Linked DNA regions of Macaca mulatta. The protein of the gene in region 1 purifies or fractionates together with the protein of each later gene. This does not show direct contact. Links are inferred from orthologs where the notes say so. Each region holds a gene or a part of one and is shown in the gene's direction. Other genes may lie near its edges.

Region 1 (3,644 bases):
CAAAATGTCTGTCACTTTGGTTATGAATCAGAAAATACTGAAGCAGTTCTTTTGGCAAACACCTCATGATTTGAAGTAATTCAACATGGCATCTTGGATGAGTTCTTGTTTGCTGACTATATTATTTGTATATCAGAAGCAGGGTATGTGGTGATGTGTTTTTATTCATGCTTCTGACTCATTGCTAGACTTTGGGAAACCACTTTATGGGGTATTCGAAGTTCAAATCCAGCCTCTCATTTGGGTTAATGAGGTAATTGTAGTTGTGTGTTTACCTGGGATATACTTGGCCAGAAGCAGACTAAGGGCTCGTGGCCCTCTCCACTTAATTCTTTCCATTATGCCACACTCTCCACCAGTCTGATTCCATGCAACCTTAAATCTCTTCCCTTTTTATTTTATTCTTTTTTTTTTTTTTTTTTTCTGAGACAGAGTCTCACTCTGTTGCCCAGGCTGGAGTGCAGTAGCATGATCTCAGCTCACTGCAACCTCCACCTCCCAGGTTCAAGCGATTCTCCTGCCTCAGCCTCCTGAGTAGCTGGAATTACAGGCGCCCACCACCATGCCTAGCTAATTTTTGTATTTTTAGTAGAGACAGGGTTTCACCATGTTGGCCAGGCTGGTCTCAAACTCCTGATCTCGTGATCCGCCCGGCTCGGCCTCCCAAAGTGCTGGGATTACAGCACTTTGTGAGCCACCGCGCCCAGCCTTCATTTTATTGTTAGTCACTGTATCTGATGATGTGTCTGTATGGATGGCTCATGGCCTGTCTTTGATCTCTTAAACCTGTTAGTCCATGGACCACAGACAGCAGCAGGAGTCATGTATATTTGGATTACAGAATAGGGCACACCAGAAATGTATTTGCATTAATTTTCACAATGGCTTTCAGAATCTTCATGCTGTCATGATTAAGAAATAAGAATGAAAACAGAAGAGCTAAAGCATTCAATTTGGGAACTGAGAAATAGAGATAGAGCTAAGGAAATGGATGAATGAACTATATTCTTTTCTGGAAAAGATTAGAAGTATACATAATAACAGTCTTCATGCATTTGAAGAAATGTGTGCTGATGTTATTGTTCTCAAAAGACTAATTGTTAGAAGTTTGTAAGCGGCCCAGTGAAATGATGCCTCACTTATACTCCACTGTCTAGGGAATGAGAGCATACCTATTCAGAACCAGACAATATTGGCAAAGTAGTTTTATGTCACTGATGAAATCCATTATAAAAACTGCTATTTCCACTTTTATTAATAGCAGAGTAAACTGGAACTCACAAAATATATTAGGACTTGAATCATGTTTTTACAGTTATCTAACTCCTATAGAAAAATTGAAACTGTCATTAGATATCCTTCTGTTTTATCTTTTTAAAATGGAAATGTGTTTGAATTGCTTCCAGGTACCCTCCAGTATATGGCACCAGAAATAATAGATAAAGGACCAAGAGGCTATGGAAAAGCAGCAGACATCTGGTCTCTGGGCTGTACAATCATCGAAATGGCCACAGGAAAACCCCCATTTTATGAACTGGGAGAACCACAAGCAGCTATGTTCAAGGTCACACTTCATTTCTCTTAAAAACAAATGGATAAACCTTTTTATAGCTATTGGATGTTCTGTGTGTGTGTGTGTCATATTTTTTTAGATAAAGGGAGCTAAGTAAACACGAACTGAGAACACATTAAAGGTCAAGAAGAGTCTCTCTCAGTTAGAGCCAGCGCTGGTGCCTCACACAGTGGATCTCTCTGTGCCTTAGTTTTCTCAGCTATAAAGTGAGATTCAATGTAACTTCCATTGACCACCTTTTTTTTTTTTTTGAGACGGAGTCTCGCTCTGTCGCCCAGGCTGGAGTGCAGTGGCCGGATCTCAGCTCACTGCAAGCTCCACCTCCCAGGTTCACGCCATTCTCCTGCCTCAGCCTCCCGAGTAGCTGGGACTACAGGCGCCCACCACCTCACCCGGCTAGTTTTTTGTATTTTTTTTAGTAGAGACGGGGTTTCACTGTGTTAGCCAGGATGGTCTCGATCTCCTGATCTCGTGATCCGCCCGTCTCGGCCTCCCAAAGTGCTGGGATTACAGGCTTGAGCCACCGCGCCTGGCCTGACCACCTTTGAACAACACAGTATAAATAACACATGACTATACTGAAGATGATTTAAGCCCTTTGGGAAACAGTCTGAAAATTTTCCATGGAGGAAGATATAAGAACATTTTTTAATCTGTTTAGGAATTAAATCAAAATTAATAATTTCCTTTACTTCTCTACCATAATAGTTTGAAGGCTTCATTTTTTAAAAAAGAGCATAATTACCATTTTAAGTAAATCAATCTTATTCTCATATACTTACTCCTCTAGCTTGTTAATTTGGCCATCAGTAACTCCTATGGGAGGAGGAAGAAGCCCCACCTTTTGCAGTAGGAGGTACCTGATAATAGAAGTAGGCTTATGAGAGCACAAGTGCCAGCATTTTGGGATCTGGGGACTGAGCATGGCTATGACCTGCGTCTTGAATCCCTGCAGTCCTCCCCTGCCAGACTGCCAGGCCAACAGGGAGTTTGAAATGGAAACATGCTTCCCAAGTAGTAAAACTCACACGTCTGCTACTTTCTAAGGCAGAGAACTTAAAAAAAAAATTAATTAATTAATTAATTAATTAATTTATTTATTTATTGTGCTCTCCTGTGGTATCCAAGGCAGAGGACTTTTTTTTTTTTTTTTTTTTTGTGGAGACAAGAGTCTCAATCTGTCACCCAGGCTGGAGTGCAGTGGCGTGATCTCAGCTCACTGCAACCTCCGCCTCCTGAGTTCAAGCAATTCTCATGCCTCAGCCTCCTGAGTAGCTGGGATTGCAGACGTACACCACCACACCCAGCTAATTTTTTGTATTTTAGTCATGTTGCCCAGGCTGGTCTCAAACTCCTGAACTCAGGCCCTCCGCCTGCCTTGGCCTACCAAAGTGCCAGGATTACAGGCGTGAGCCACGCATTTGGCCTGAAAGGACTTTTGATGGTAATTGTTATTCCTCTCCCTGCTGCAGACCACGTTTCTAGCCCTTATTCCATCTGTGCGTAGCCTCTTATGAGGGGCCGTGTGTTTTGACAGACCTTCTGCTTTTGTGCAAAGCTTGGCTTTATGCTTGAAGACAATCTGATAGGATACTGCTGGTATAACAATGAGTAGTGTGACCAAACCTCAAAGAGCAATGACAGGTGCCAAGAGAGGTGCCTTTCTTGCCATGAGTGGATGTCTTTCTCTTCTTGGCCAGTCTTTCAGGTTTCCTCCAGTGTCTAGGACTTATCTGAAATGCTGCTTTATAATTCACGAATGCAGTGATTATTATACCATGTGTTTTGGTCACATTAGGGCCAGTCTAAGCTGTGCACAGGAAGTGATGCTATCTTAGAGAGACGGCGTGACATAGACTGTGGCACCAGTTTACAGTGTTTGAATCCAGGCTCCAGCATGGTCAAGATATTTGAGACTGAGCGAATTATTTAAACTGCTTGTGCCTCAGTTTCCTCATCTATAAAATAAGGATAAAAATAGTACCTATTGGCCAAGCATGGTGGCTCACACCTGTAATCCCAGCACTTTGGGAGGCCGAGGCAGGCAGATCACCTGAGTCGGGAGTTCAAG
Region 2 (3,744 bases), on another chromosome or scaffold:
CAGCTGGGTGACCGCGGCGCCCACATCTGGCAGGAGGCAGAAGGTGGTGGTCGAACAGTGCACAGCCAGCTCAGGGGGATTGGTGGTCACCAGCTGCTGTGAGAAGCCAGGTCAGGGTGCCCGGGGTGGTGGACCCACAGGGAGGCCCCGCCCCCACGAAGACCCGCTCTGGAGGCCCCGCCCCGCCGATGCCACGCCCCGGTGAAGACCCGCCCTACGGAGGCCCCGCCCTCGAGGCGGGCCGCCCCTCGCCGCCAGCTTCCAGGCCAGCAGCCGCTCCAGCTCCCTGTCACATGCTCTCCGCTCTGCCCCTGATGGCCGCTGGCAACTCCTCCCGATACCTGGGGAAGGGCGGTGAGGGGAGGTCCGGCCACAGGGGGCGCTCGCCCACCGATCCCTTTATCCCCTTCCACTCTACCAACGGCCCAGGGCTTCCAGCCGCACTCGGGGGTCCGCGCGCGCCCGTAGGACCTCTCGATGGCGCTCCGGAATGGCGGCCCAGCGACTGGGGTCCTTACACCCAACAGCGCGGGAAGCCACTATGTTCACGCGGAGGGGCGGGGCCGGCTGCCGGGGGCGGGGCTTCTGGGTAGGGGCTGGCTGCTGGGGGCGGGGCCTCTGGGTGGGGCGGCCTGTTGGGGGCGGGGCGTCTGCCGATGGGGCGGGCTGCTGGGGGCGGGGCTGGCTGCCGGGGGAAGGGCCTCTGGATGGGGCCCGCTGCTTGGGGAGGGGTCTCTGCGCGTTGCGGCGGGGGCGGAACGCCAGGTGGTCGGGACAGGCTGTTGGGGGAGTGCGCCCTCAGCGAACCAAGGCATCTCACTGGGAAAGTCGAATGTGTGTGGCGGTCGCCGCCGAGGCCGGTTCCGAAGAGGCCTCAGCAGGGCGGGCCAGGGCCTCCGCGAACGCCGACCCTTAAGAGCGCCGAGCGAGGGAACCGGAGTGTTCCTCCCAGCCCCCGACGCCGCGGGCCTAGCGTCCCCGTCCAGGCTGATTGGGCGCACGCGCGGCCCCACTCGCCCCCACCCGTGCGTCCCCGCTGGTCCCGCCCCCGGCCGGAAGTTCCGGCGGTGGAGCTGGGCCGGGCCCGAGAGGATCGCGGGTTCGGGCTGCGGGGCTCGGGCTGCAGGCGCTGGGCCGCCAGGCGCGGAGCTTGGGAGCGCAGCCCAGGCCGTGCCGCGCGGCGCCATGAAGGGCAAGGAGGAGAAGGAGGGCGGCGCGCGGCTGGGCGCTGGCGGCGGAAGCCCCGAGAAGAGCCCGAGTGCGCAGGAGCTCAAGGAGCAGGGCAACCGTCTGTTCGTGGGCCGAAAGTACCCGGAGGCGGCGGCCTGCTACGGCCGCGCGATCGTGAGTGCGCTCGCGCGGGAAGGGCGGCGGCGGCGGCGGCGGCGGCGCCGGGGAGGGCCGGGCCCGTGCCCGGCTGGCCCCACCGAGGGTCTGGTTCCTCTGCGGGGCATGTCCTGGGCTCCTAAAGCCCAGCCGTGGTTCCCGAGCCCAGCGCCGGGTGTCGGAGAACGAGGGTGGGATGCTGGATGGAGGCCGGCCGGGTCGGGGGGAGGGCAGGGGCCCTCGCCCCTTGAGGATCCCAGGTCCAAAGCCTGGACTCTCCAAAGATTTGGAAAACTTTACAAAACCAAGTGGAGTCAAGCGGATAGGCTCAGCCAGTACTCCACTGTCTGCAGATCCTTGGATCCAGGGGCTTTGACGACTGAGAAGCCTAGTTTCTTGATTCTAGCCAGAGCGCAGAAGCTGGGACGGGCCGTGGGACAGAGGGGGCGCGCTGAGCCTACACCCTCATGCGGCTGGCCCGGCCTTGGTCCCTAGACCCGGAACCCGCTGGTGGCCGTATATTACACCAACCGTGCCCTGTGCTACCTGAAGATGCAGCAGCACGAGCAGGCCCTGGCCGACTGCCGGCGCGCCCTGGAACTGGACGGGCAGTCTGTGAAGGCGCACTTCTTCCTGGGGCAGTGCCAGCTGGAGATGGAGAGCTATGATGAGGCCATCGCCAATCTGCAGCGAGGTTGGCTGACAAGCTGCCCGGTTGTGGGGCCCCTGGGGCCAGGCGGGTGGACTGGCCAGAGAGTGACCTGAAGCCCCCGTTCCCCAGCTTACAGCCTGGCCAAGGAGCAGCGGCTGAACTTCGGGGACGACATCCCCAGCGCTCTTCGAATCGCGAAGAAGAAGCGCTGGAATAGCATCGAGGAGCGGCGCATCCACCAGGAGAGCGAGCTGCACTCCTACCTCTCCAGGCTCATTGCCGCGGAGCGTGAGAGGTGGGACCCTCACCCCAGGTCGCCCTGTCTTGGGATAATTCTGAATCACCAACTACCAACATGAGCGTTTATTGAAGGTTTCACTGGCGAGCAGAAAACGTGGGGAAGAAGCATGAATGTTAGCCCTGAGGTTGGGGTGTGGTCAGACATCTGGCCAGGTCCATCTCTTACTGGCTCCTGGTCAACCCCCAGGGAGCTGGAAGAGTGCCAGCGGAACCACGAGGGTGATGAGGACGACAGCCACGTCCGGGCCCAGCAGGCCTGCATTGAGGCTAAGCATGTGAGGGTGCCCCCCTCCCACATGTGGGTCTGTGTGTGTGCACCTGGCGTGGGAGCATCCCCGCCTTGTGTTGGGTCTGTGCCCCATGGAGGAGGGAGGTGGGGTGTCCCGCACAAGTGCAGTGCTCAACTCTTCACAGGACAAGTACATGGCAGACATGGACGAGCTCTTCTCTCAGGTGGACGAGAAGAGGAAGGTGAGTGTCTGTCACTTGCTGCGGTGGGTGGCAGGTGCTGGAGCAGTGCCCCTTCCCAGCCTCTGATCGTGTGCCCCTGTGCCACAGAAGCGTGACATCCCCGACTACCTGTGTGGTAAGATCAGCTTTGAGCTGATGCGGGAGCCGTGCATCACGCCCAGTGGCATCACCTACGACCGCAAGGACATCGAGGAGCACCTGCAGGTGAGGCTGCGGCTGGGGGAGCAGGGCCAGCAGCATGGTCCTGGGCCCACTGACTGCCCTCTGCCCTTCTTGTCACTGCAGCGCGTGGGTCATTTTGACCCCGTGACCCGGAGCCCCCTGACCCAGGAACAGCTCATCCCCAACCTGGCCATGAAGGAAGTCATTGACGCATTCATCTCTGAGAATGGCTGGGTGGAGGACTACTGAGATGCCTTGCCCTGCCCAGCATCCTGGTCCAGGAGAGCCCTGGGCGGAAGCCCTCCACCCCTGTACATAGTTTGTGTTGCTGGCCACCCTGGCCCCTTCCAAGTTCAAGTTCTGCTGTTGGGCTCTGGACTATTCCCCCTCTCAGCATAGCTCTTGCTGGGCCGTGATTGTCCTCCTTTGTGGGCTGGAAAAGCAGGTGAGGGTGGGCTGGGCTGAAGCCACTGCCGCCACTGTCTGTGTAATAAAATCCATGAGCACGAGATGGGACGTGCTGGTGTGTGGCAGGCATGCCTGCCAGCTGCTTTGGCTAGCCGAGGAAGGTGGAGATGAAGACGCTGGTGTCAAGGTTGAGTGTGGCATGCCACCAGCGGTCAGGGAAGTACAGCACCTGGTGGAGAAAAGGGGTGCAGCACAGATTAGCTGGGGGCCTCTGGCCTGGCCTGGCCCTCTCCTGCCAGCCACTGACCTCACCAGCCCGGATGGTACACTCCAGGGGCCGTGCAGACGGTGGCAGGGCTGGATATGTGTCCCGGAGCCAGGCCAGCGTGGTCTTGTTGGGGTGGAACTCTGGTGTCTTCTCAGGT
Region 3 (3,744 bases), on another chromosome or scaffold:
CACTGCCTGTGAACAGGAGACGCAGGAAGAGAATGGTGATGGCTGCAAGGCTTCCCTCCTATCTCATGTGGCCCTCCCCACTCTGTGTGCATGGGGCCCTGCATCACCCCCACTTTACACCTGGGCAAGCAGAGGTCAGGCCCGGCCTCAAGCGTTTCTAGCAGGTGGTGGAATCTGCTTCCCTCACGTGAGGTCCCTGACAGGGTACACACTCATGTCTGCCTGGAGGCCAGGGGCTGACCCCTTGACCTTTGCCTGGTACCTTCTGCCTTCACTAGCACTGACTTTACATCCAGAGTCATCTGATCCCAGCGCCAGATTGGTCAGCGGTTCCTGAAATCCCCCAAGGTTCCGTGTGGGAGCAAAGAGAGGACTGGTCCATCCAGCCATTATACAGATGGGCAGACTGAGATCTTAGGAGGAGAGGAGAGAACCAAGGTCCAGGAGAGAGCCAGGATGGGGCCTCCGGGCTCGTGGGATAAAATGCACCGCATGCTGCCTCACTCCCTCTGAGACAGTTTCCCCCGGTGTAGAACAGGGGCAGCAACAACCAGCCACGACAACTCCTCGTGTTGCCTCGTCACCGGGCATCGCTGAGCTCACCACCAACCCCGCGCCCTGGCCGGGCGCCTGGAGCGCGGGCGCGGGCGGACGTTTGCTGGCGCCGGGCCCTCAGTGCGTGTCAGCGAGCAGCGCCGTCAGACGGCTGTCACCGCCGCCCGCTCACAGATGCGTAGACTGAGGCTCAGGTGTCACGACCTGACCAAGGCTAGTTCCGCTACAAAGTTGCCGACTCGGATCTGAACCCGGGTCAAATTTACAGAAAAGGAAACTGAAGCCCAGAGACACCAGGGAGCTTGCTGGGGTGAGGCAGCTGCAGGTTCAGAGAGCCAGGAGGCAGCCCAGCAGCGCACTTTTAACCCCCGCCCGCCTCGCCAGGCCCAGCCGTGCCACCTTTAGGGATCTCGGGTTTTTTCCAGACGACGCACCCGGGAGAACGCGCCCACTCATCGCACCCGCCGGGGCTGCGCGTCTGGGGGTGCTGGGCGGAGCCTGGCGCTTGCAAGGAGCAGCGGGCTCAGTGGGTCCCGGGAGTGGGTGGGGCTTGCGTGTTGACGGGCAGCGCGAGGGGCGCGGCTTTAGTCCAGGTGGGCGGAGCCTGACCGGACTTGGGTTTTTCGGGCGGCTGGCAGACTTGACAGAGAGCGGGAGGGGCCCGGATCCTGGGCCCACGGAGGGTGGGGCGTGTAATTGACAGGCAGGGACAGACCGGCGTCTGATAGGCAGGGGACGGGCCTTGGAAACGAAAGGGCCAATCGGACACGCAGGGGCGGGGCCTGAGTCAGCGCCGTTCGGCCGGGGTCCCCCCGGCGCTGCCCAGTCTGGCTCCGGCGCCGCCCGTCGCGGACTCGTCCTTGCAGTAGTCGCCGCCGCCGCCTCTGCTCCTCCGCCTGGCCCGGGCCGTCTGCCCGCAGCCATGAGCGTGCTCGGCCCCGGTGGAGCCCGCAGTCCTCTAGATTAGTCCCCACCGCCGTCCAGGACCCGCTTGCAGCATGGAGTCGCCCGCCTCAAGCCAGCCCGCCAGCATGCCCCAGTCCAAAGGTAGGCGATCCCGGCCGGAACCTCGGCCTGACCCCGCGCCCAATCTGGGGCCGGGCTGCAAACCCCGACCGAATTTCTTTGGTCCCACCCCATCCTGTTCTCGACCTGGCAGCGGCGTCCGGTCCCGGAACCCCTTCCTGTTCGGGGCCCCGGGACCGGCCGCAGCCTGGGTCCTCACCTGGACCCCCAGGTTAGGCCTTGGGACTGCATTCAGGCCCGAGATCACCCAGGCTGGACCCAGACTAGGACTTTGTTCTGCTCACCCCATCCAAGTCAGGAGCCTCACTCTGACCTCATTTGGGCCTTATGGCTGTAGCCTGGACAGGAACTCTCTCAGTCTTCTCCCTCAGAGGGACCCAGGTGAGATTCACACTGGCCTCCATCTGCGTCCTTGGGCAGCACCCACTCCCATTTCCAACTTGGGGTCCCAGGGCTGTATCCAGGCTGGGATTTAACTTAAGTCTCCATCTGGGCCCCAGAGTGCTTCTGTTGTTTCGGACCTCACTGTACCCGCTATGCGGGTGCTCTGGCTACACCCCAGCTCGGAACTCCCCGTCCTTCTCTCCTCCAGCTCTTCTTATCCTTATAGGCCCTATGTTGCCCCTTCCCTGGCTGGCCTGCACCCTGTCCTGCAGCCCTGTGCTCCCAGGAACCTCCCTTGTCCTCCCACCCCTCCCTAAGGTACAGCCCCCTCTCTACTGGCTTCTCTCTGTCTTGAGTTGCAAGCTTCTCCCTGCACTTGGGGTTCTCACCCCATCTTATTCCTCTCCTGGCTGCCTGGGATCTGGGCCAACCGCCAGGCCAGGGTGCTGGCTGTGCAAGGGATTTGCTCTTCTCCAAGTAGCTGGCCTTCCTGGAAATTTTTGTGAGGTGGCAGCAGCAGCAGGATTTGTCATGCGGAGGGGGAAGGATGAGACTCGGAGGGCAAAAGGGGAATTTTTTTTTCAGGAAGAGGAAAGGATGTTTTTGGTGCGTCGGAGTTTCAGTAGGCTGGGTTGTGTGAGAGATTTCCAAACCGGACGTAGCCGTAATGAATGGGCTGCCTCCTGCCTAGCTGAACCTGCAGCTGCTTCACCCCAGCAAGCTCCCTGGTGTCTCTGGGCCTCAGTTTCCTTTTCTGTAAATTGGAAGTAATCACACCTGCTTCTGTGGACGCGGGAGTGTGGCGTGGGGTGGTGAATACAAAAGAGCTCTGAGGTGTTCACTCAGCATAGCGCCTGGCGGAGAGCCGGCGCTCACCAGGGGACACTGGCTGCACACATCTCGCTATTGTTTCCATTCTTCTTGCTGGAAAGGCCTCCACTGCTGGAACTGCAGCCGCAGAGTGAGCAGGAGGAAGCATCTAGCAGCGGGCACCTAGTGGGCCCCTCATCGGGGATCAGCCGCTCTTCTGCTCTGGAGGGCGCAGGCCAGTGGGAGCCCTGTGGGGGCTTGGGGAGGGCACGGGCTCTTCCTGGCCCCTGCTGCTGGCTGCTGTGGTGGCTGGAGCCGGGTGGGCAGGATAATTATGCCTTACATAAGTGGGAGGCCGGATCCCTGACCATTGCCCAACCACTGTGAGTAACTCAGGAGGCACTTGAGGGGGGAGGTGTCTGGGGAGGGACTTGCACTGCCCAGACCTCGTGGAGCTTGGGAACCAGGAAATCAGACACTTCTCCACTCTGGAGAGCCTGGGGAAGGGTAGGAAGCCCTGTTTGTTTTGGAGGCTTTTTAGCTCTCCAGGCAGAGAATGCCTGATCAAAATAAAAGTTCCAGTTGCAGAGTTGTGAAGGGAGAGGGGTCATAGATGTGGTAAGAACGCTGTGAGAGGGCCAAGATGAACTTCTAGATAGGGACCCAGGTCGCAGATGAAATTGAGGGAGCTGGATGGAGGGTCAGGGACCTCCCTCAGGCCCAGCGACCCTGTAGTCTCTTTGGGATCTGGGGAAGGATGTGGTGACAGAGCCGCAATGCCCTTCACCAAAAACCCTATGAGCTTCTTCTTTTTTTCCATGTGCCATGCATTTTCTCATTTATTCCTCATAGCCTCATTTATAGATAAGGAAACTGAGGCGTTAAGTGCCTTGCCTGAGGCCACGCAGCTGTGACAGGCGGAGCTAGGGTTCCCCCTAGGACTGCATCCCCACAGTGGCCTTCCCCGTG

The links. The genes of interacting proteins can lie anywhere in the genome.
Region 2: the proteins of MAP3K5 (region 1) and STUB1 purify together in Homo sapiens (affinity purification with western blotting; 3 studies listed by BioGRID). This does not show direct contact. The link is inferred for Macaca mulatta from reciprocal best matches to the Homo sapiens genes MAP3K5 and STUB1.
Region 3: the proteins of MAP3K5 (region 1) and MAP2K3 purify together in Homo sapiens (co-immunoprecipitation; 4 studies listed by BioGRID and IntAct, with this or other methods). This does not show direct contact. The link is inferred for Macaca mulatta from reciprocal best matches to the Homo sapiens genes MAP3K5 and MAP2K3.

The regions. Positions count from the first base shown.
Region 1 is NC_133409.1:41,710,190-41,713,833, reverse strand, and holds part of MAP3K5 (mitogen-activated protein kinase kinase kinase 5), read left to right. Parts: intron 1-1,406; coding exon 1,407-1,564; intron 1,565-3,644. UniProt on the Homo sapiens protein: Serine/threonine kinase which acts as an essential component of the MAP kinase signal transduction pathway. Plays an important role in the cascades of cellular responses evoked by changes in the environment.
Region 2 is NC_133425.1:1,895,377-1,899,120, forward strand, and holds the start of STUB1 (E3 ubiquitin-protein ligase CHIP), read left to right. Parts: upstream 1-1,185; coding exon 1,186-1,344; intron 1,345-1,732; exon of another isoform or gene 1,733-1,821; coding exon 1,822-2,020; intron 2,021-2,107; coding exon 2,108-2,273; intron 2,274-2,465; coding exon 2,466-2,553; intron 2,554-2,692; coding exon 2,693-2,749; intron 2,750-2,836; coding exon 2,837-2,953; coding exon of another isoform or gene 2,954-3,034; coding exon 3,035-3,160; 3' UTR 3,161-3,467; coding exon of another isoform or gene 3,468-3,548; intron 3,549-3,623; 3' UTR 3,624-3,626; coding exon of another isoform or gene 3,627-3,744. Other genes in the region: uncharacterized protein LOC106994901, read right to left, coding at 1-93, 342-539, 655-779, 821-1,187. UniProt on the Homo sapiens protein: E3 ubiquitin-protein ligase which targets misfolded chaperone substrates towards proteasomal degradation.
Region 3 is NC_133421.1:22,179,765-22,183,508, forward strand, and holds the start of MAP2K3 (dual specificity mitogen-activated protein kinase kinase 3), read left to right. Parts: upstream 1-1,432; 5' UTR 1,433-1,553; coding exon 1,554-1,602; intron 1,603-3,744. UniProt on the Homo sapiens protein: Dual specificity kinase. Is activated by cytokines and environmental stress in vivo. Catalyzes the concomitant phosphorylation of a threonine and a tyrosine residue in the MAP kinase p38.